4 linked regions of the Mus musculus genome follow. The protein of the gene in region 1 purifies or fractionates together with the protein of each later gene. This does not show direct contact. Links are inferred from orthologs where the notes say so. Each region holds a gene or a part of one and is shown in the gene's direction. Other genes may lie near its edges. The genes, in order: Tgfbr1, Smad2, Smurf1 and Usp15.

Region 1 (5,473 bases):
GGGAGGGGAGGTGGAGGACTAAGGAAGGAGGATTCCGAGTTTCAGTCTAGCCTGGTTTGCATAGTGAGACCCCCATCTTTAAAAACCAAGGGCTGGGGGCCGGAGAGATAGGTTAATAGTTAAGAGACTGCTGCTCTTGCAGAGGAAGTGGTTCCGTTCTTAGCATCCTTGTTAGGTGGCTCACAGTTCCACTCCAGGTGTCACTCCAGTTCCAAGTGATTGGACGCCCTCTTCTGGACCCCACAAGCACTACTTGCATACGGTGCACATAGGAGCACAAGAGCTGGGGGTATAGCTTATGAGTAGAGTACTTGCCTAGGAAGTACAAGGCTTTAGGGGTGGGGGTGAGGCGGGGGCAGTCACTGGAGATTTTAGGTGTGTCAGGCTCTTTATATCTCCCAGAGAGATTTCATTAGAAGCTGGTCAAATTTAGTCCCTGTAACCTCAGGGCATTTGAGCCAGGGGGGCCAGGGGAGCCAGGGGAGGCAGGAACTGATGGTTCTGGAGTCCCAGAGAGCAGGCCTGTTCAGGTTCTGGCAGGTTGAGGACTTGCTGAAGCGTGTCCTAGCTGGAGCCGAGGAGCAGTCTCAGACCCCAGCTCTTAGCCCCCACGGTTTGCTTTCATAAGCAGGATCAAACTCTTGGAAAGTGGCTATAAAGCAATTTACCAACAGCTACTAGAGGCCGGCTGATTCCTACTACGGAGCTTTATTTAATTCCGAGTTCAAATCACACAGAAAATAACATTTTCTCCTTAAAAGGTTCTGCGGAAAAATGCTGTCGGTGCCATGCGGCCGCCTCCGTGACTGTGTTTGTGTCTGAAGAAAGGACTAGTCTGACAGGAAGAATTACAAATCTGGAGCTCATTTTGGCGTCCCAGAGGGAAGGTGGGTGGAGCGTCTCACAGTAAATTAGGAATTCAGAATGAAAGCGGAGCTGAGTTTATTTGGGTTTTTAGTGACACCTCGAAATTATTACACAGGAGTGTCGGAGACAACTCAAAGTACCTATGACTGCTCCCGCTTCGCCCCGGGGCGGGATGCTTCTTCGTAGGGCAATCCTCCCTCCTTCGAAACCCGTGGGCCTCTCCGCTTCCACGCGGGGACAGCAAAGGTGGGAGGGAAGGAGGGCGGCGGGGACCCTTAGTCTGGGTCTTTTTACGGTGCCGAGACACAGAGGCCACTCGGGGGTGTGTCTGAGCTCCACCTTGGGATTCCGAAACTGGGCTCCGACTTTGAGACTGGAATTTGGGGAGAGGACGACGAGGTCTGGGGCGGACGTGGAGTGCAGAAAGAAATCGGACTGTCTTTGCGGGGAGGCTGGAAGCCGCGGGTCTAGGGTGGGGGAAGTTGAACCCCGGACAATATTGAGGGTCCGAGTGGCGAGAGTTGGGTTTTGCGGGTGCAGGACTGTGCAGGGGAAGTCAGGGTGGGGTTGGAGTAGAAGAAAAGAGCGTGCAACGGTCACAGTCTTTCCCTGAGCAACTCTCACAGGCACACCCTGCGCTCAGTCGGGACCGTGGGCTCCCTCGGGCGCGCAGACTGGGACCCTGCCCCCACCCGCCGCGGGAGCGCGAGCTGCCCGCTGTGGCTGGAGTAAAGGCGCCCAGCGGTGAGGGGGCGTGGTCAGAGGCCCAGCAGTGCGGGGGCGTGGTTAGAGGCAGAAACCCACGGCCGCTCATTGGTAGCCCAGGGCCCCGCGGGCGGGGCTCTCGGCTAGGTCCCGCTAGGGCGCTCGCGGGCGGCGGGGGAGGCGGGGTCGGCGGGAGCCGGGCAGCCAATGGGCGTACGCCCCTCGAGCAGTTACAAAGGGCCGGAGCGAGGCCGCGGCGGCGGCGGGGAGGTGGGGCGAGGAGGGGCGAGGCTTCCTGAGGAGAAGCTGCGGCCGGGGCCGGGCCGGGCCACAAACAGTGGCGGCGGGACCATGGAGGCGGCGGCCGCTGCTCCACGTCGTCCGCAGCTCCTCATCGTGTTGGTGGCGGCGGCGACGCTGCTCCCGGGGGCGAAGGGTGAGTGGCGGGCGGGTGGCTGCGGGGCGCGCGGGCCGGGCCGGGCCTCTGGCTCGCTTCAGCTCTTTCTCAAACATGGCGCGGGGCCGGGGGCGCAGGTGGCGGCGCCCGGCCGGCCGGGCGCTCCTGACCCGGCAGGCGCCACGCGAGCCGGGGCGGGGAGGAGAGGCGGGGCGGGGGCGGTGTCGAGCGCGGGTGGCGGAGCACCGAGCAGAGGCCGGCCCTCTTGGGCTCCCGGGGGGCAGCGGCTGGCGAGCCTGCCGAGGTCGGGGGCTGCCCTTAGGGGTGCGAGGCCGGCCGGGACCGTGGCCCCCTGATTCCACTGCCTAAATGCGCCCCGGCCTGAAGCTGTTGGGGCGTGGGCGGGCACCGGCGTGGAGGCGCTCCGGGGCCGGGCGCTTGGAGGGCTCCCCGGAGGGTCGAAAGGGGCGCCGTGGGCAGAGACCCCGGGTGGGCCGCACCGCCGTGAGTGCCGACGCCCGCCTAGGGCGACTTTTCTTCAACCAGGGGCTTTGTGTGAGAAGCAGGCGCGAAGATGCGCGGAATGTTCTCGCTTCGTGAGTCTGGGAAGAGTTCAGAGTCCAGTAACCAGAAGGCTGCAGATTGTCTTCTTGCTAGTAGAAACTTGAACGTTTGCTCACTCTGCAGATTTGGGAACGTTTGAATGGGAACGGTTCTGTAGAATTGATCAAATTATTCCTTTTCTCGAGGGGATCGTTGCTTTGGGTGTATCATTTCCCTAAGCGGTAGTTTTAAAACCAGACCTCTGTGTAGCTGGGGTTTGAAGGGAAATGTGTGGTTTCCCAAAATATTAAAGCCGGTCGTGATACTGGTTGTCACCTCTGGAGGGAAGATTGAAAAAAACTTTGTCAGGAACCAATTAAAATAGGAGAAAGCAAAATACTGAGGCTCGGCATTAGCAACCTGCATACAGTGAAAATACATTTTTGTTGCGGAAATTGGATAACAACATTTTAAAAAGCAAAACAAGCCAAAACAAAAGTCTCTCCAGACTGTGGATGCCAACTATGATTAAACTTAATAGTTACTGTTTATTGGGAGTTGATTATAATGCAGATGTAAAAGACACAGTATCAGAACCCTCGCAGTACCAGTATTTGTCCTGTATATTGACATGAAAACTGAGGTGCAGAAGATTAAGTTCTTAGTAAGTGCAGAAATTAGGATTTGCACTTAGGCTTTCAGGGTTCAAAATCTGTGCACCTGTTACACCAAAGTAGCATGACTCACTTAAAGAACAGTTGATATTTGATAACATAACTTAGCCATCAGTTTCTTAGTTTACTTGAACATTCTCTTTACATAGGTCTACAGTAGAAGATACAATGGGTTTTTGACATTGGCTTAGGAAGGAAATAATGGTGGACAAAGTGGGAGAATTGTTATAATTATGCATCAACTATAAGTGACCATATCTAACAGTTATTTGGGTAAAGTAATTAATTCTTTTCTACCTAAAACAAAGCAGGACACGTTCATGCATTTAGCAGTATTGACGTGGATGCTGAGAAGGCTGGTTCATGTCCTGGAGGACTTTATAGCCTACTTAGGCAATGATGTAATACAAAATTAGCCTAGATGTTTTTATTGCTCAAAACCTAGACTAGTACTTCATAAACTTTCCCCATTTGCCACCCTCTTTTCTCAAAAGATTGTATGTGCCCATGAGTCACATACAAAATGTAAAAGATGGGTATATAAATCAAATGTACTGATAATAGAGCATAAATAAAATTATTTTAAAACAATTCATTGGTATATACAGTTTTACCATTTATTAAAGATTAAAGCACATTTCTGTAGTAATGAGATGGGTGAGTTTATTTTTTCTTAAAGAACTGAATCATCCAGTGCTGGCGACTCCACATAATTACAGATGTTTAGGACCATTTCAGAAATTGTTGCAATTCTATCTTAATCACAAGATGAGATTTATGTAATAATTTTTAAAATGAAATTTAAGTCAGCAACTTAAACAGCAGTTTTTAAAATCAGACATTTTAACACAATACAATTGGTCAAGGATATACCACTTTGATATACATGAGGAATGAAAGTCTTTTCTGTAGTTTGTGTATGTTTCTGGAAGAATAGAAAACTTTGTATATTCAATAAAAACATTAAAACTCATAAAATAATAGTCTGGACTGTGTTAGCACTGCATAGCACGATAGCATGTGTGTTTAGAACCAAGACTGTAGTGAAGTTGCATCTTGCAACATAAGCATGGATTGCCAGAAACACCTCAGATTCATTACTCAGTTGATTTTGAATTAATTTTGGGGTGTTATACATTCACAAGTCCTTTACTGTTGCCAGATTGTTATATGACCCAGCATCTCTATGTGGAATTAGGAATCAGTTTAAGCTATGGCCTGCAGGGCACTGTGGCTCATGCCTTTAATCTCAGCACTCAGCAGATTCTGATCTCATAGTGAGTTCTAGGACATCATAATATAGAGGTCTTATCTCAACCCCACCCCCCAAAAAGAAGACGCTAGACCTAGATAAGTTCACCTTGTCTCATTTCGTTAGGTTGTTTCAGTGTAGCCTTTTATACATTCTGAAGAAATGCACAGCTTTTCTTTATAATTTAGCTTCTCTTAAAACTTGAAATTGCTCTTTACTGTCTGTTATTTATATTTCTCTGCTAGCATATGTTTTCTCCAATATAGATTTTTGTAGGGAAATTGATCCCTTATCCCTGGACAAATACACAATATTACTTGTTTATATTTGCATCACTTGTTAGAATGCTGTTTGCTGCCTGCAATTTCAGGGCTTTCTTGGAAAAAGTCCCTAACATCCTCTCTTGCTGAGCAACTACCAGCTTAGTACTGCTAGTTATCCCCTAAATCTACATGGTTTTTGTTGTGTTCTGTCATGGAGGATTTTGTATGAACAGATGCCAAACTATCCTGGATTTTCCAGTGAGGTTTGAAGGTTTCCCATGTGAGGCTAGGAATTACGATTGTTCCATTGGAAAGATGTCTCAGGACTGCAAACTCCTGAGTTCTAGTGATAGCTGCTTTCCCACTAGTTCCTGACTCTTCAGTCTTTGCTGCATGCTTCATTTTATCTCTTTTGTAGGAATTTGAGGACAGAACTTCTCAGACCTGATATTCTAGATAGTGTTCATTTGGCTTTCTTTGAATTCCATCTCTTGGAAGTATATAGTATTAAAAAGTTTGTGTTATCCATTGTTACTATCCTGCATTGTTAACTAACTGTATTTGAGTATGTATTGAGTATTCAGGGGTAAATTATGCCTTCATGTCCTCAGAACCTACTACCGTGTCTTACAGTCTGTTCTACATAAATCTGTGTTGATTAAATGAATTCTGTGTGAGCAGTTCTGTTTATGTACAGATTATGCTATATTGATTTAGAATTATATATGTATATATATAACGAGAAAGTTGTATGATGTGGCAAATAAAACAG
Region 2 (5,482 bases), on another chromosome or scaffold:
TAGATCTTCAGGTACCCTAGTGGATTTCCAAGCCGATTGTTGCCATGGCAACCCTTGCTCCATGTGCCTTCAGCTCGTCTTGACCCACTTTGGTTTAGATGCATCTGTGACCGAGGGGATAGCAGACATGCTCCCATTTCAATGTTCCTGGAGACTGCATCAGTAGCCAGGTTGCCCCCTATTCCCTTTTTCAGTCTTTTAGAACCTATAGCACAGTGGTTCTCAACCTGTGGGTCGTGACCCCTTCAACAATCCTCCAACTCCAAAAATATATTCAAATTACAATTCATAACAGTAGCAAATAGTTATGAAGCAGCAATGCAAATAATTTTATGGCTGGGGGTTAACACAACTTGAGGAGCTGTTAAAGGGTCCCAGCATTAGGAAGGTTGAGAAACCATTGCTCTAGAAACCAAGCCTTGGAGGGCTGTGTAAACGGAGGAGTTATGAGCTCAAAGTCTGACACTTTGGAGAGATGGTTTAACTCAAGAAACACACACACACACACACACACACACACACACACACACACACACATATATATATATATATTTGGAATCTACCCAGCCTTGCTTCCCCCTCCCCACACCAACTCCTCGTGTGGACACCCAAATCCACATATGAACCACACAATGCTTTTTAAAAAATGTTTAAGATCACTTTTAACAGGGCATTCTGTATTAAAGCTGTTGATTTCTATCAGTATAAAGAAGGGTTGTAAGTCAGAACCAGTTTTCCTCCTTCCAATCTGAGCACCATTTGTCTTAACTACATTCCCAGGTGGCTCTGGAAGGCTGAAACAAGAAAGTTCCTTAACTGATGCCCCTCAAACTTCACTTTTATTTTGGTGGTGCTGGGGTTAAAATCAGGGCCTAGGATGGGCCACACAAGTGCTCTGCCCGGGAAGCTCTATCCTCTGCCCATTAACGTGGGAATTATGTGGACTTCCTCCAAAACTGCTAACAGAAGAAACCACCCTCTGAAGGTGACTTTCTGCTAAGTTCTTGTTAGCATAAATATTTGTCCATAAGCAAAGGGAAGTTAATGATCTTTATCTTTCCTTTAATTTCAAAGTCCTGTTCATGTTTACATTCATGATTTCTTTTTAATTATGGAAGTCTATAACATTTTTCATTTATAATATGTAAGTTGGTATCATGATCATATAAGTTCGTACCACTCTGTCAAAGGTCTTGGATTTGGAGTAGAGTTGCGTTCAAAACTATGACTGGCTTACATCTGGGGTGAGCCACATCTTTCCCCTAAGAATAGTGGTGAAGATTTTGAAAGCCTATTTTAAAAACCCTGAATGTCTGAAGGGAAGAGCAAATAACTCAAGGTCCACATACAGACCCCTGCTCTGGGATGCCCTCACATCTGAGGAGAGAGCATGCTCCACTCTAAAGTGCTTCAAGCACTATTGTGTTGGTTCTCCTGCACTGCTCTGTAGTGCTAGTGAGGCTTGCTGGATTAACGTATAGGTGGGCACGACCAACGAAACTATTTTACCACTAGCAACCTGAAAGAGGCATTGCAAATTTAGGTTTATTATCCTAACACAGTCTTTCATCTGCCGGGGTTGAGTCAAAATCAACCTGGTCACACCACTGCGAGTAGTCTGAAATTTGGGAACTTGGTGAGAAAAGTCTAGGAACAGGGACACAGCGAAGGAAAAATGTGGTAGAGAGAAGCCAGCAAATCAAGGAGCACACGCATAGGTGCTCACACTTCACAATGAGCATTCGAAGTGTGTAGCACTAATACTTTACTTCAGAAGAACCCACGGCTCGGGCTGGAGAAACACACCCAGGAGCTGCCCAGCCCTAATACCAACCGCACGGACAAGAACAGCTCGGCGGTTTTCGCCACCCGCCCCCGCCCCCCTCCAAGCACGAGGCCCCGCCCACTCATTTGCATAGGGCGCGCCCCTCAGCGGCCAGGACCCAGGCTGCTTCAGAGCTCTGCCAGCCCAAGCGGCTCAGACCCGGCTGGGGGCGGGCCCGGGCCGGAGCACGTGTCCATTCCGGCCTCACGACGGAGGTGGGCGAGGGCTTAGCCGCGGCGCTCCACCCAGAGGCGCCGGGGCGGGGGTCTGCGGGCGTGGCACGCCGCGCGGCCTTCCGCGATCCTCCACGAGCCCGGTGGGAGCGCGCCGGACACGAACTCAAGCGCAACCGCGGGCGTACCAACCCACCCGGCCTCGCCTCGCCTCACGCTCGACGGGGAAGGCGGAACCAATCAGCGAGCGACGTTTCCCTTCCGATTCCAGGCCCCCGACGCGGTGCTCACACCCCGGGCTCCCCGGTCGCTGATTGGCTGCGCGCGCCGCCGGTCCCGGCCGGAGGCGGGAGTCGGCGCCCCGCGCCTGCCCGCGCCCCGCTCGGCCCCCGGCCCTGCCCGCGGCGCCCGGCCTCCTTCCGTCCCTGCCGTGCTCCCTCCGTCTTCCGTGCGCGCCCGCTCGGCCGGCGTGCCTCACGCCTAACGGGCGGCCGCGGGCGCCAATCAGCGGGCGGCAGGGTGCCAGCCCGGGGCTGCGCCGGCGAATCGGCGGGGTCCGCGGCTCGGGGAGGGAGGCGGGGCTACCGCGCGCGGCGGTGGAGGAGCAGCTCGCCAAGCCTGCAGCTCGCGAGCGCCGAGCGAGCCTCCCGGAGGTAGGTGCGCGGCGGCCAGGGCGGTGGCGCGGGGTGCGGGCGGTGCCGGGGCGCGGGGCCGCGGCGAGCGGAGCGGGCGGCGCCCTCCTCGGCCGGCCGCGGCGAGCGCGGGCCTGGGGGCGGGGCGGGGGCCCGCGGCGCAGTTCCGCCTGCGCGCGCCCACTCCTCCGGCAGCGCGGAGCCCGTCGGAAGAGGAAGGAACAAAAGGTCCGGGGCCCGGCTCGGACGGGCCGGGACCAGGCGCTGGGTGCAGGTAAAGCCGGGGCGCCCGGGGAACCGGGCAGGAGTGTGCCGGGCCGGGTCACGTGGCCGCCCGTGTGGGGTGTGGCGGCGGGCCGTGGCGCGCGGGCCAGGGTCGGCGCCGTGGGCAGGGCCGCGAGCCCCCGCCCCGCCCAGCCTGACTGCGGCCCGCTTCTGTCCCGGCGCGCGGCCGCTCTCGCTCTGTGCCTTGCAGAATGGCCCCGGAGTCGAGTTAGGGGCGTGTGGTACTTTGCTTATACTTTTCCTTTTTCTTTTTCTTTTTTTTTTCTTTCCTGTGGCCTTTGTTAACCGTAACAGTCGCGGGTTCCGAATCACTGTGTGTACTCAGAAACACGCTCGTGGCTGAGGCTGCCCGGGCTCATCCTCCACGCACTTGGGAAAGTTGCTCCGTGGGTACAGCCTATTAGTTTCTAATCACACGCCTTTAGGAAGCATGCTAATTGAGTGCACTTATTTCAGATTGGTTTTCACAATCGGTGCTTGGATTTATTTTCTTCTAGGGATACTGTCCTTGGGCCAGGTACTTTTGTCCTCTTACCCTTGCGTGTTATGGTTTCCTTGTGAATCTAAACAAAAGAAAAACAAAAATCGAGGTTGGTTTTGTTATTCATTCCTTTTACACTTAAAGGCAAACACTACCTGTTTGTTGTCACGCCAATAAAAAAGAAAAAAAATGCCCAGGTGAAAATAATTCCGCAGCAGCATCCCGCCTTATTGTCATGCCTTGTTAGGACATTCTAAATGGCGATGTTTGTAACTAATGAAACGACGTGTAAATAAATGAACCATCAGGCAAATTTATCTGAAGATTATCTTTACAAAAAATGGCACCCTGGTATGTCAATTTACAAAATTTCTTGTTTCTGATTTCCTGACTTAACCCCATAACACTGATGAAAAGGATTTTTCTATTGAGCCTAACACTAGAATGCATTTGCTGCCGTGCTGGAAATATCTTTCCTATTAGTTTACTTTGGTTCCTGTAAAAAGCATTTTTCCCCTTAGCAGAGGCGTGTTAAGTAGTTAAAACGAAGTTGGAATAGTTTCAATCCATGAGTTAGTGAAGCAGATGGAATCCAGACATGGGAGAAGCAAATGTATTATAGTTTTAAGTTTTTTCTTTTTCTTTTTATTCCCCCCTCTCCCATTTAGCTATGAAACAGCTCCATAAAGAGGGGTTCCCCCCTCCCATTAGATCATTTGGCAAATGTTTATGTTTAATCCATAAAGTAACATTGATGTTACTTTTAAAATTTCTTTGTTTTTGCATAAACTTACCTGTGGTGATGAGAAAATTTGTGGACTTTTAAAAGCTGAATGCCCAGGTACATGCTTAATGTTAAAATCCAGTTAACTTAATTAAGTTTAAGGGTCCTCACTGGCCAGGCTTAATGACTGAACTGGGATTACAAACATCTCTTGTGTTCCTTTGCAAGACACTACTCTTAAATACTGTTGTTTCCTGTTTTATAGCTACACATAAAGTGATTCGTGTTGTAGGTGTTCAGCAAAGTTTGGTCTTTAGGGTTCTGAAGTACTTGTCACTAAATAGCTATGCAATCTGTATGGCTCGTAAAGTGAGTGTTGGGAGAAACTGCAGAGTAATTTCCTTTTAGGCTTGGTTGTGTGATTTAACTCTCATTAGGAATATTGGGGATGGTTTTCTATATAGCCCTTTCCTTCATGTGGACAAAGAGAATACTAATTCAGTAGAACAAGAGGTCTCTCATTTTGATGCATATAGAACATGTTGCTGTAGTCAGTACTTTGCATGAGGGAGGCTGGGTGAACACACAAGTAAACTTAACTAGGTTAGCTGCAGAACTGGGTGAACAGACAAGTAAACTTAACTAGGTTAGCTGCAGAACTGGGTGAACACACAAGTAAACTTAACTAGGTTAGCTGCAGAACTGGGTGAACAGACAAGTAAACTTAACTAGGTTAGCTGCAGAACTGGGTGAACAGACAAGTAAACTTAACTAGGTTAGCTGCAGAACTGGGTGAACACACAAGTAAACTTAACTAGGTTAGCTGCAGAACTGGGTGAACAGACAAGTAAACTTAACTAGGTTAGCTGCAGAACTGGGTGAACACACAAGTAAATTTAACTAGGTTAGCTGCAGAACTGGTGGTTGAGGACCTTTTGAGTTTTTAGATTTGACTTTTGGGCCTAACGGTTCCCTTCATGCTTGGTTTGGATGCCGTTGGTTTAATTGTTTGGACCCAGAACCCCATGTTTGCAGCAGCCTCTTTATACAGGTGCTTTTGTGATGCATGCAGGAGCTGTATATAGTGTAGTCTGGCAGATGGAGGTTTATTCATATTCTTGGGACAAGAATCCTTTTTAGAGGGTGGAGAGAGGCATATCTTTTTAGATGCTTTGTCTGAGTAAAAGCAGAAGACACAGTTTTAGGCCCGTGGTTTCTGTAAGTGCAAAGAGGTTTTCTACTAAGTATTGCAAAGGTGTATCAGACACTGACTATAGAGAATTCAGAGTTACTTTATTGGACAAGTAACACTTACACAACAAACGTTCTGTGGCTAGTCACCCCACTACTCCTCAGTGGAAT
Region 3 (4,765 bases), on another chromosome or scaffold:
ACTCCAGCACCAGCGGTGCTGGGCCTTGCAGGCAGCTGAGCAGCTTGGGGAGTCTTCTTTCCTCAGCAGTCCCTGCTAACTCTGGGAGGGCTGGGAGGAAGGGACCTTGTAAATCTGCTAAGTTTCAGGACTTCCTGAGACTTTGTGAGTTGCTTACTTCCTGTGTTTTAATGAGATTCCTTTAGAATTTCCTGAGTCTCAATAAGTCCTTCTGGTGTAGAATATTTTAATTCCAAGGAAATTGCTTCACAGCACCAGTCTGGGGAGCTTAAACTCCATCTCAGAATAAAAAAAGGTTTTTTTCTTTTGTTTGTTTCCTTTTAAGGGTGGTGGGATAGGATTGGGCATGTGGCATTAGGTGTAGAACACCTGCCTATTGTTCTTCACTTTAGGTAGAACTCTTGCCAGTGAGGGACCAAGGGTGTGGTTCAGTGGTAGAGGGCTTGCTTTGGCCCCTGTGAAATCCCTGGTTCGGATCTCTAGTACAGTAAATAAATGAACAAAGGGAAAAACAAATTTAAAAATGCTTATTACACCATGGTTGCCTGCACTCACTGCTTGTGTAGCTGGTGGGAGTCCTTTTCCTGTGCCTGATGAGGGATGGTGGCTCTGCCCTCACTGCCAGGGTCCCGAGGCAGCCAGATGCATGTGGGTGAGGGCCCGATGGACTCGTGTGCTGAACGAGTTTGTGTGCTGAACGAGTTTGTGTGCTGAACGAGTTTGTGTGCTCTCACAGGTATGTTGGGAAAACGGACTCGATAACCATCAGTGTGTGGAACCACAAGAAGATCCACAAGAAGCAGGGGGCTGGCTTCCTGGGCTGTGTGCGGCTGCTCTCCAATGCCATCAGCAGATTGAAAGACACTGGCTGTAAGAACCAGACGCTCTTCTGCCTCTCAGTGCACCCTCGGAAAGCTTAGGCGGCCCTGTGTCTTACTTTTATTTGAATGCCGAATGCAGAATTCCTGCCTTCCTCCCTAGTTAACGTTCTTTGGGTTAAGTTTTGAATTGTTTGTTTGCAGACCAGCGTTTGGATCTATGCAAACTAAATCCCTCAGATACTGATGCAGTTCGTGGCCAAATAGTGGGTAAGAATTTTCTCATCTGCATAAAGGGACTTGGATGGAACCCTCCGTCCTGCTCCCAGTGCTGACGGGGGACAGGCTTCCAGGGCAGACCACAGTGGGCCATCTCTCCAGTACTAAACCTTTCTTGTGTGGTTTCCTTTCTTTTCTCTGGTTCCCATCATCCTGTCATTGAAACTTAGTTCCAGTGACTCCAGCCAGGATGGGAGGTTGTGGTTTATAAGTGTTGTGCTACTCAGCACAGGAACGGACAATCGACCCTTATCTTGTCAGGGGTGATAAGAGTTGAGACTACAGGGGCAGGAGCTGGAGTGTGGCTTTTCTGGGAAGCCCCATTCTGTTGCAAAAGCAAAGAAAGTGTGTGACAAGTTCTGTGTAATGTGACTCACAGTCAGAGGACTCCATTGTGTGGAGAGAAAGGTTAAAGCATGCTTGCTGCATTGCCTGCAGGCATTCCGATGGAGTGACCTCTCTGAGTCACTGTCTCCTTGCCCACCCTGTTGTTGGCAGTGTGTTAGGGGAAAGCACATGCTGGGTGTGTGTGCTGCATGGAGTCAGTGGAGCCGCAGCCCGGCTGAGTCACTCGGACTCCAGATGCCTCAGGTCCCAAGACAGTGAGTGCTGCATCCGCCCAGAAGCAACTTGAGGATCAAGTTCTCATGCATTGCATCCCACTTGGAATTTCTTCTTTCCTTTGTAGAGGGGTGTGTCGGGGCAGAAATCAAACAACTGAAAACCTAGGAGTAAAACATGTTGTTTGCACCAGTGAGACTAGAACATAAATGTTTTCTTAGATTGAAGGTTTGTACCTTCACTAAACATAAACCTAGTCTTCTTAAGATGGATAACTTAATGGAGTGAAATGTTGCATTCTCCAGTTTTATGGGGATGGGGCATGAGAAGCTCAGGGCCTTTTCTGCTTTCTGCTTTCAAGGACTGCTCAAATGGTTGTGTGGTATGTGCAGCTGTTGGCCTGAGGTGCTCCACACTGAAAACAGGGGGGGAGGTGTAAACTCGCTTCCTTTGTGTGATACTGACAGGGGTCTCGAGCAGCCCTGGGTGTTAATGCGGGCTTTTCTTTTGTGTTGTAGTCAGTTTACAGACCCGAGACAGAATAGGCGGTGGAGGGTCAGTGGTGGACTGCAGAGGGCTGCTGGAGAACGAAGGGTACGTATGCCTACCATGCTGCCCCCTGTGGTGCCAGCCATGTTCTCTTTCCCTGTAGGAAAGAAGTGTCAAACCATATACTGCTATGTGGGATAAAACTGCTCCAAGCTACCATACTAGTGTGTGAAGGAAGGTGTAATTAACCCAGGGATTATACCCCAGAGATTCGGGAACCAACACAGGGAAGTTCCTACCAATTAGAGTTTAGCTGGGCACAATGGCGTATGCCTGTCATGTCAGCACTAAGGAGACAGGCAGGAGGATCCTGAGTTCTGGGTCAGCCTAAGCTATAAAATACAAAGAAGCCCAAGAAACAGCGGGTGTTTGTGCAGATCGGCCTTGATGCCCTTGCCTAGGGGGCAGCAACCTTGACTCTCTAGACAGGCTCATTGGCTTGGGGCTCACCAGTTAGCCCAGGCAGGCCAACCAGGGCTACCTGGCTCCTTCTCCCCTGTGCTGATTATATGCACACACCACCACATGAGCTAGGCTTTGAGTCAAGTCCTCCTTGCTTGTGCGGGAAGCATTTTCCCAACTGAGCTGTCTCCCCAGGCCCTGGACTCTGTCTTAATCATGATTTATAAGACAATTAAGAGAAATTTGAACATTGACCGGTGTTTGATGATGGTGATGATTATTTTATTATTATTATTTTGGTTCAGCAACAATAATGGAGAAGTCATTGGCTTTAAAGAAACAACAAAGTGGCCCATGCTAAAATACATACGGGTAGGATAGTAAATGCAGGGATTGAACTGACACTAGCCCCTTGGTGGGGAGGAGTGGAGGGCAGCCTGGCGACACCCCTGTGACTGCTGCCGCTTTTGGGGAAAGGCCCATTGTTCTGGTCCTCCATGTCGTGCATGCATTGAAAAATTTCAATATGAAGTTTAAAAAGTATCTGACTGTAAAGGGAAGTGACTCATTGAGGCAATTTGGTTTTGAAACTGCTGTGAGAGGGAAGAGAATGTTTAAAAAGTACTTAAGAGTCAAGAATTTCATCCTCGAGTAAAATAACAAAGAAAATGGAGTGTCAGGAACACCTTCCCAGTCAGGTAGCGGCACCTCCGGTGGCCCTGCTAGATAGAGCTCTAAATCGTGATTGGCTCTTTCTCTCTTGGTGGACCCTCGGAATTCATGAAGCTTTGCATTGAGAACACAGTCACTCGTTAGAGGGATGGAGAGCATCGCGTGTTTGAGTCTTGTGACACTTCCATAATGTTTCCACGCCTGTTCTGCCCTCCCTTCCAGAACAGTGTATGAAGACTCAGGCCCTGGAAGGCCGCTCAGCTGCCTCATGGAGGAACCTGCCCCATATACAGATGGTACTGGTGCAGCAGCAGGAGGCGGGAACTGCAGGTTTGTGGAGTCTCCAAGCCAAGATCAGAGACTCCTGGTACAGCGACTCCGAAATCCTGAGGTTCGAGGGCCCTTACAGACACCCCAGAACCGACCACATGGCCACCAGTCGCCAGAGCTGCCTGAAGGCTATGGTGCGTGTAAAGTCTGCTTCCTGTGGCTATGGTAAACACCAGGACTAAAAGTAGTTTGTGGAGAATAGGGTTTATTAGGCTTGTAAGTTCTAGTGTGTCACTAAGGGGAGTCAGGGTAGGAGCTGGAGGCAGGGACTGAGGCAGGGGCCATGGAGGCGTGTGGCTCACTGCTTGTTCAGCCTGCTTGCGTTTTTTGGGACAGGTCTCAGTCTGAAGTCTTGACTGGTTGGAACTATCTCTGTAGAGCAGCCTGGCCTTGAACTCAGAGATCCATCTGCCCCTGTCTCCTGAGGGGTGGAACTAAGGACAGACATGTGCTACTGTGCCTGGTCTCACCCTGCTTCCTTATACCATCTGGGACCACCTGTCCAGTGGGCTGGGCCATCCCAAATTAATAACTAATCAATAAAGTATCTCACAGACTTGCCTACAGGCCAATCTGATGGAGGCATTTTCTCAGTTAAGACTTCTGTTTTCCCAAATAACTCTAGCTTCTATCAAGTGACAGAAAACCAGTTCGGACATCGAGGGATTTGCCCTGTGCCCCTATGTGCTGTGCACAGCTGCTAATGGCTTAGCTGTGCCTTCTATGACTGTGGCATTGGATGACCTGGGCCACATACAGATGGGAAAGTTGTAATGAACTCTGGGGCAGTGTGAGGGAAGCTTGGAGACTCGGGATAGTATGAGATGTGAGACTAGGAGGGGCATCACGGGGATGGAGTGCACAGAGCCATGTGGCTTCAGTGCTAAGAAGGACCAAGAAGGGATGTGGTCACATCAGCAGATCACCCAGATGCAGGCACTAGGAGACGATGGTCAAAGGTTGTCTCTGTGGCGGAGGAGGTGGAGCCATCTTCTCCAAGGCAGCCCAGGGAGGGAAAGCCTGGAAGAATTGGGTTCTCTCCAGACCTGTAGAGTTAAGGAAGCCAGCCACAGCCTTGTAATTCTTTCTTTCTGTGATCATAAAGAGTGATGAAAGAAGCAGGGACAGGGTGCACACCAGCAGTCACACCACTG
Region 4 (5,565 bases), on another chromosome or scaffold:
GATCTCATCAGCCTGACGTATAACGTGAACTGACTCCTCTTGAACACAGTGTAGCTGAAGATGACTGTGGGTTTTTTGTTTGTTTGTTTGTTTTTCTGCGCGGACTTTGGCAGTTCTGTGTGGTGGGAAACTAGAAGAGAGGGCAGTGGCCTTATTACTTCATGGATCTGTTATGCTTATAAAATAACAAATGACACAGTTTTACCTTTAAAGTCCTGAATGCTTTGTTAAGAATAGCTTTATTGAGATATAACACACATACTATACAATTTATCCTGATATCAGTCCAATTCTTCCTACTAACATTTGTTGATTGGCTATTAAGTTCCAGGCAACAAACTCATATTGTTTCATTTAATCTTCATTTTTTTTTTTTTAGAAAAAAAAATCCTTAATGGGGTCTAGAGATAGGACTCAGGCAGAAGAGTGCTTACATAGCAAGCACGAAACCCTGGGCTTGATGCCCAGTGCTGCAGAAACATCCCAGAACTGGGGAGGCGGAAGCAGACAGATCAGATAAGTTCAAAGTCATCTTCTGTTGCACTGACAACCTGGGACGCATGGGATCCTTTCTGAAAAATAAGATAAAGTAAAGTTCAAAAACTGTTAAAAGGCTAGGTTGGCAATTTGGCTCAGCAGGCATAATTGTGACTTACCCAAGTCTGATCCCCTGAGACCCTCATAGTAGAGAGAGCTGACGCCTGCAACGTTGACTTGTGATCTCCACAGTAGGCTGTCACAGGCACACACTCAACTCATCTAGAAAATAAATGCACTGCATGCTTTTAAAATCCTTTAAGATAAATATTATACTATTTAAATTTGTAAATAGACTACAGATTAAGTGTTGGCAGCTAGAGATCCGAAGCCATGTATGTATGAGGATACAGCATATTCTTTGCATACCAAGTTGTCTCTCTTTGAAAACTTACTTTGCTTTCCTTCACAGAGTGGTAGAAGATGGGGATGGGGGGTGTGGATATATAACAACTGAGAATGTCCATAGTTAGGAAAACTCGGTTTTATAATCAGGAGTGGTCAAATAACATAAGAAATAGCCGTAAATGGAAATGACTTTTAGACTCATTGAGGCTGAAGTAATACAAAGAGAGTACTGCGCAGAAACAAGCAGTCACATACTGACTCACTCAAGTATGACGCCAATACACACCGGTTGTGCTAGTTGTTTTCTATTGCTGCAACAAAGCATTCTGACCAAAGGCAACTTAGGAAAGAAAGGGTCTGGGTGGCTTACGCTAGGGGAAGGTCACAGCCAGAGCTCAACAGGAACCCAGAGCAGAGTACGTGGACGGACACTGCTTTTTATGGCTTGCTCAGCTTGTTTTCTTACACAACTCAGGACCACCTGCCCACAGTGGGTTTACCACACCGATCGTTAAACAAGAAAATGCTCCACTGACTCATCACAGGCTACTCTAAGGGAGGCAATCCCATAATTAAGGTTCCCCTCTTTCCAAGTGACTTTAGTTTCTGTCAAGCTGACAAACCCTAACCAGGGAAACACTGCTTTCTCTTGGATGGGCCAGCAGTCCTCACTAATGCAGGCACCCCCTTCCTTACTGAGTTTCCCACCAAAACTAGGAGGCTTAAAAAATGGAGAGACCATTGCCCATCCTTTAACTTGTCACCTACTGTTCTACTGAGGTAGCCGTCTTCATTCTTAGAAACAGCAGTTTTGCCTTAGTTAATTTTGAAACGTTTGCCTCAAATGGTGTAGAATGGTACTAGACCATTAAACCGCAGTGCACACACACACACACACACACACACACACACACACACACGCACACACACGCACACACACGCACACTCACACGCCAAATTATAAAGAGAACTTAGTTGCAGCTTTTACGGAGTTTGTATCTTAATTCAGCCTTTCATGGAGGTACTGAGTACTGGGGATTTGAAATCTGTGCGATAACCTTGCACTTCCAGTTGCCGTGTGACCTTGGCATTTGATTTTTAAGAGGCTCAATTTCCCCGTTTGTAATTGTTGCCTTCAAATGCAGCTTGTATTATCGAGTCTAACTTTAGGCATATACAACCATGAAATTTAATCTAGGGGAATGCTAATTTGACGCCCATGAGGTTTCTCCCACGTTTCTAACCCCCTTCAGTACCTGGCCTTATTCAATACATCTTTAACTGCTTGTTCACCTAGAAACTGGGACATGTTTTGCACTGCAGCTAACGTGTGTGTGTGTGTGTGTGTGTGTGTGTGTGTGTGTGTGTGTGTCCACGCGCGCTAGGAGGCGTCACAAAGAGCTTATGAAAGGTAGAAGTCCCTACAGACAGCAAGCATGGGAGAGCTGGGAAGAACCTAGGAAGGGCACTGCGCCCAAACCTTTGGTTTCAGAGCCCTCTTTGTGCCAATATTCAGTGGGCTTGGGCTCTGCGGCTGGAAAGGAAAAGCCCCAAGTCACGGAACTGCGCGCTTTCTGCCATGTCCCAGCCGGCCCCGCCCTCCAGTAGGAGTGAACCCGCAAAAACATGGGTTTGGAGGCGGCTGCGGCAAGAAAAGGGCCAGCATGGCAAGGAGAGTCCGAGCAGGGCAGGGCAAAGGCAGGGAGAGAAAGCGCGGCACCCGGTGAGAACCGTGCAAACTCAGAGGTCTGGGGCGGCGGCGGCGACCACGCCGTGCTGCGGGGCGTGCGGGGACCCGAGGGGGCAGCAGGGCGCAGGCGCGCACCCGCCGCGCTCCCCGCCGAGCCACGCCCCCAGACCCCCGCCCTCGCGCCCCATTTGGTACAGACCTGCCGGCGGGGCGGGGCCGGGGACGCCATTCCCACAATGCTCCGGGGCGTGCCGCCGCCGTCGCCGCCGCCTCCGCTACGGCTAGTGGAAGAAGATGGCGGAAGGCGGAGCGGCGGACCTGGACACCCAGCGTTCTGACATCGCGACGCTGCTCAAAACCTCGCTCCGGAAAGGGGACACCTGGTAGGGAACGGGGTCGCGGGGCCCGCGGGGGCCCGAGGCTGGCGGAGAGCTGGGCGGGAGCGGTGGGCTGGTGTCGCCGGCTGGTGACAGGTGCGGACAGGTCCGGCGGCGGCCGCTCAGGCAGCAGATTTTGGGGGCAAAGGTTGGACCGGCGCAGAGGGCCGGGGCTCGCGGTGGGCGGTGCGCGCCCGGGGCTGCGCGGAAGCGGCGGCCGGGGCTCGCGGGGCTCCGGGTCCTCCTCCCTCCGGCAGTGCCGCTCCCACTTGGGGCCTTGGCGGAGCCCGGGTGCAGTGGCTCGGCGTGAGCCTGCCTGCCGCTGGTTTTTTTTTTTTTTTTTTTTTTTTTTTTTTTTTTTTTGACAGATCCCGGTCGCGCCGCTCCTCCTCGCTCGCCCGCCGCGCTTCTCTGGTCACTCCTTCCCCGGCGTCGTCCGCACCCAAGTTCCCCATTATTCCGATCCTTGTAGTCTTCCGGGAGCCGGGCTTCAGGATGTTTGCGGCGGGGACCACACAGGTGGTGTGTGTCAGGGCTCCGCTGAAAAGGAAACCCCTAATTTCCACTTCCTTGTCAAAAAGGAGGGAGCGGTGTAGGGACCTTGTTTTTTTAATTTTTTTTTCTTGAGAGAGAGAGAGAGAGAGAGAGAGAGAGAGAGAGAGAGAGAGAGAGAGAGAGAGGCACCACGTGGTCCTGTGCTTTGCTCCTGGCTCGATAGGAGCCGGCAGCGCTTCTGTTTGGAAGTGCAGCCCTTCCCTCCGGTTTGAAGGATAACGTAGGCCTGCAGAAAGTAGATAAGTCCACTTGAAGCTTAAAGGCTTGCTCATATTCAAACTTGTAAAATGCCAAAATAAGAGGGTACTGTACCTAAATAACTAGAGGAAGCATGTACAAAATTTAACACTCGTCAGCCAAAGCAGTTAACTTACAGAATTATTTAAATAAAGGGAAAGTTCTGTTTTAGGGGAAGGGCAGTGTGCCTGTGTGTTCTTTCGTTCTTTCTTTCTTTCTTTCTTTCTTCCTAAGTTACTTTTCCTTCCTTCTGTCTCCGTACTAGTGGTTTATAGCGTCTCAAGTGCCTGTTAGGTACTCCAGTGTGGCTAGTGGAAAGAGACTTAAGACCTGATTTATTCACAGTTCTCAAGTGCTTGTTAGGCACTCCAGTGTGGCGCGGTGGAAAGAGACTTAGACCTGATTTATTCACAGGTCCACCTCATACTTTGCAGTGTGACTTGGAAGCAAATTCATCCAAGCCATTGAGCCTCCGCATCTCCATCTGTTCAAAGAGCAATAACGATGTTATTGTGTTTGCTCTATATTAATTCAGCTAAATATTCTGAACTATCTGGTATTCATGAAATACTAAGTTTTAGTGATCTTTTTTATTTCTGCCATTAATTCCAGACAAGTGCTGTGGGGTTGGAATCATTTTCGAGTTAGCTAATAGGCGACAGCTGGGGGACCTGAATTGAAGTTCTTGGATCCTTAGTTTGTAAGACGGCAAACACTTTGTGTAATTAAGAACCTTGATGATGGAAAACACACTTGTTGCATTACAGCCTTGCAGAGGCTTAAGTCATTATTGCTTATAGTCTGCTTTTGTTTTTCTTACGGAGTTTATTGCTGAGAAGAAATCGGGCATTCCCTAGAACACCTATGCTCCCCTTGGCCTGTGCGATCTTAACAGATAAATTCAAGCTTCTTCTCTCTGGTATATTGAAGAACATTTTTTAAAAACCAATTCACTCATTTATTGTATCATACAAATATAAATATGACTACCGATAAAATAGAAATATTTTTTAGAATGTGGATAGTTTTCTCACTAATGTTTTTCTGTTGAGTAATATCACGTATAATTGGTGTTCATGGTAATATATGATTTAAGAAATACCTGTATTGTGGATATTAAACTACTTTTAAAGTTGGTTATTTTTAAGCGAGTATATTTTTCTTGACAGTTACCGTAAACCACGTCAAAATGTACAAGTTAAGTCTATACTTGGGTTGTTACAATGCCTTAATTTCAAGAAAGAACTTAAGTCCAGTTTTTAGGCAGCAGCTAAATATGCAAGTTTTACCTCCTTGTTAATTTTCTATTTTGTGTAAATCAGTGGTTCTCAACATTCCTAATGATGCTGCCTTTTAATACAGTTCTTCATGCTGATTCTGCTACTAAGAAAAAAAGAGATAGGCTTACCATAATCTGGAAATCTTCGTACAGAGTTTTGAAATTATAGTGAGGTGCGTTAAATTTCACCACATTAGCTCCTGAGCACTTTGCAAACTAACTCAACTACCTAGGCAGATATTTGTATTTGATTTGGGTCTTCATGAATACCCATCTCTGTTTATTTGTTTATGGGTGGTGATTTGAGTACACAAGTTGTGCTGAGATAAAGAGAGCATTCTGTACGACTGGCACTGGACGTGCAGTAAGAAGTAGGTAAACAGTGGTACAAGAGTTCTCCCTATGACAGGTGAGCTAGCAAGGTGACACTCATTGACAAGGAATAAATCGGTAGTCTCACAATGCTAGTTGTTTGTCTGTTTCCGTTCTGACAAGACAGTGAGGAAACCATAAGCAAAGTTAAATTAGAATTTAGAAAATTT

Evidence for each region.
Region 2: the proteins of Tgfbr1 (region 1) and Smad2 purify together in Homo sapiens (affinity purification with western blotting; 8 studies listed by BioGRID and IntAct, with this or other methods). This does not show direct contact. The link is inferred for Mus musculus from reciprocal best matches to the Homo sapiens genes TGFBR1 and SMAD2.
Region 3: the proteins of Tgfbr1 (region 1) and Smurf1 purify together in Homo sapiens (affinity purification with western blotting; 3 studies listed by BioGRID). This does not show direct contact. The link is inferred for Mus musculus from reciprocal best matches to the Homo sapiens genes TGFBR1 and SMURF1.
Region 4: the proteins of Tgfbr1 (region 1) and Usp15 purify together in Homo sapiens (affinity purification with western blotting; 4 studies listed by BioGRID). This does not show direct contact. The link is inferred for Mus musculus from reciprocal best matches to the Homo sapiens genes TGFBR1 and USP15.

What each region holds. Positions count from the first base shown.
Region 1 is NC_000070.6:47,351,389-47,356,861, forward strand, and holds the start of Tgfbr1 (TGF-beta receptor type-1 isoform 1 precursor), read left to right. Parts: upstream 1-1,833; 5' UTR 1,834-1,923; coding exon 1,924-2,008; exon of another isoform or gene 2,009-2,850; intron 2,851-5,473. UniProt on the Homo sapiens protein: Transmembrane serine/threonine kinase forming with the TGF-beta type II serine/threonine kinase receptor, TGFBR2, the non-promiscuous receptor for the TGF-beta cytokines TGFB1, TGFB2 and TGFB3.
Region 2 is NC_000084.6:76,239,329-76,244,810, forward strand, and holds the start of Smad2 (mothers against decapentaplegic homolog 2), read left to right. Parts: upstream 1-2,372; 5' UTR 2,373-2,651; intron 2,652-2,754; exon of another isoform or gene 2,755-2,904; intron 2,905-5,482. UniProt on the Homo sapiens protein: Receptor-regulated SMAD (R-SMAD) that is an intracellular signal transducer and transcriptional modulator activated by TGF-beta (transforming growth factor) and activin type 1 receptor kinases.
Region 3 is NC_000071.6:144,895,470-144,900,234, reverse strand, and holds part of Smurf1 (E3 ubiquitin-protein ligase SMURF1), read left to right. Parts: intron 1-736; coding exon 737-870; intron 871-1,022; coding exon 1,023-1,088; intron 1,089-2,176; coding exon 2,177-2,252; intron 2,253-3,418; exon of another isoform or gene 3,419-3,503; coding exon 3,504-3,745; intron 3,746-4,765. UniProt on the Homo sapiens protein: E3 ubiquitin-protein ligase that acts as a negative regulator of BMP signaling pathway. Mediates ubiquitination and degradation of SMAD1 and SMAD5, 2 receptor-regulated SMADs specific for the BMP pathway.
Region 4 is NC_000076.6:123,194,220-123,199,784, reverse strand, and holds the start of Usp15 (ubiquitin carboxyl-terminal hydrolase 15), read left to right. Parts: upstream 1-2,765; 5' UTR 2,766-2,869; coding exon 2,870-2,958; exon of another isoform or gene 2,959-5,565. UniProt on the Homo sapiens protein: Hydrolase that removes conjugated ubiquitin from target proteins and regulates various pathways such as the TGF-beta receptor signaling, NF-kappa-B and RNF41/NRDP1-PRKN pathways.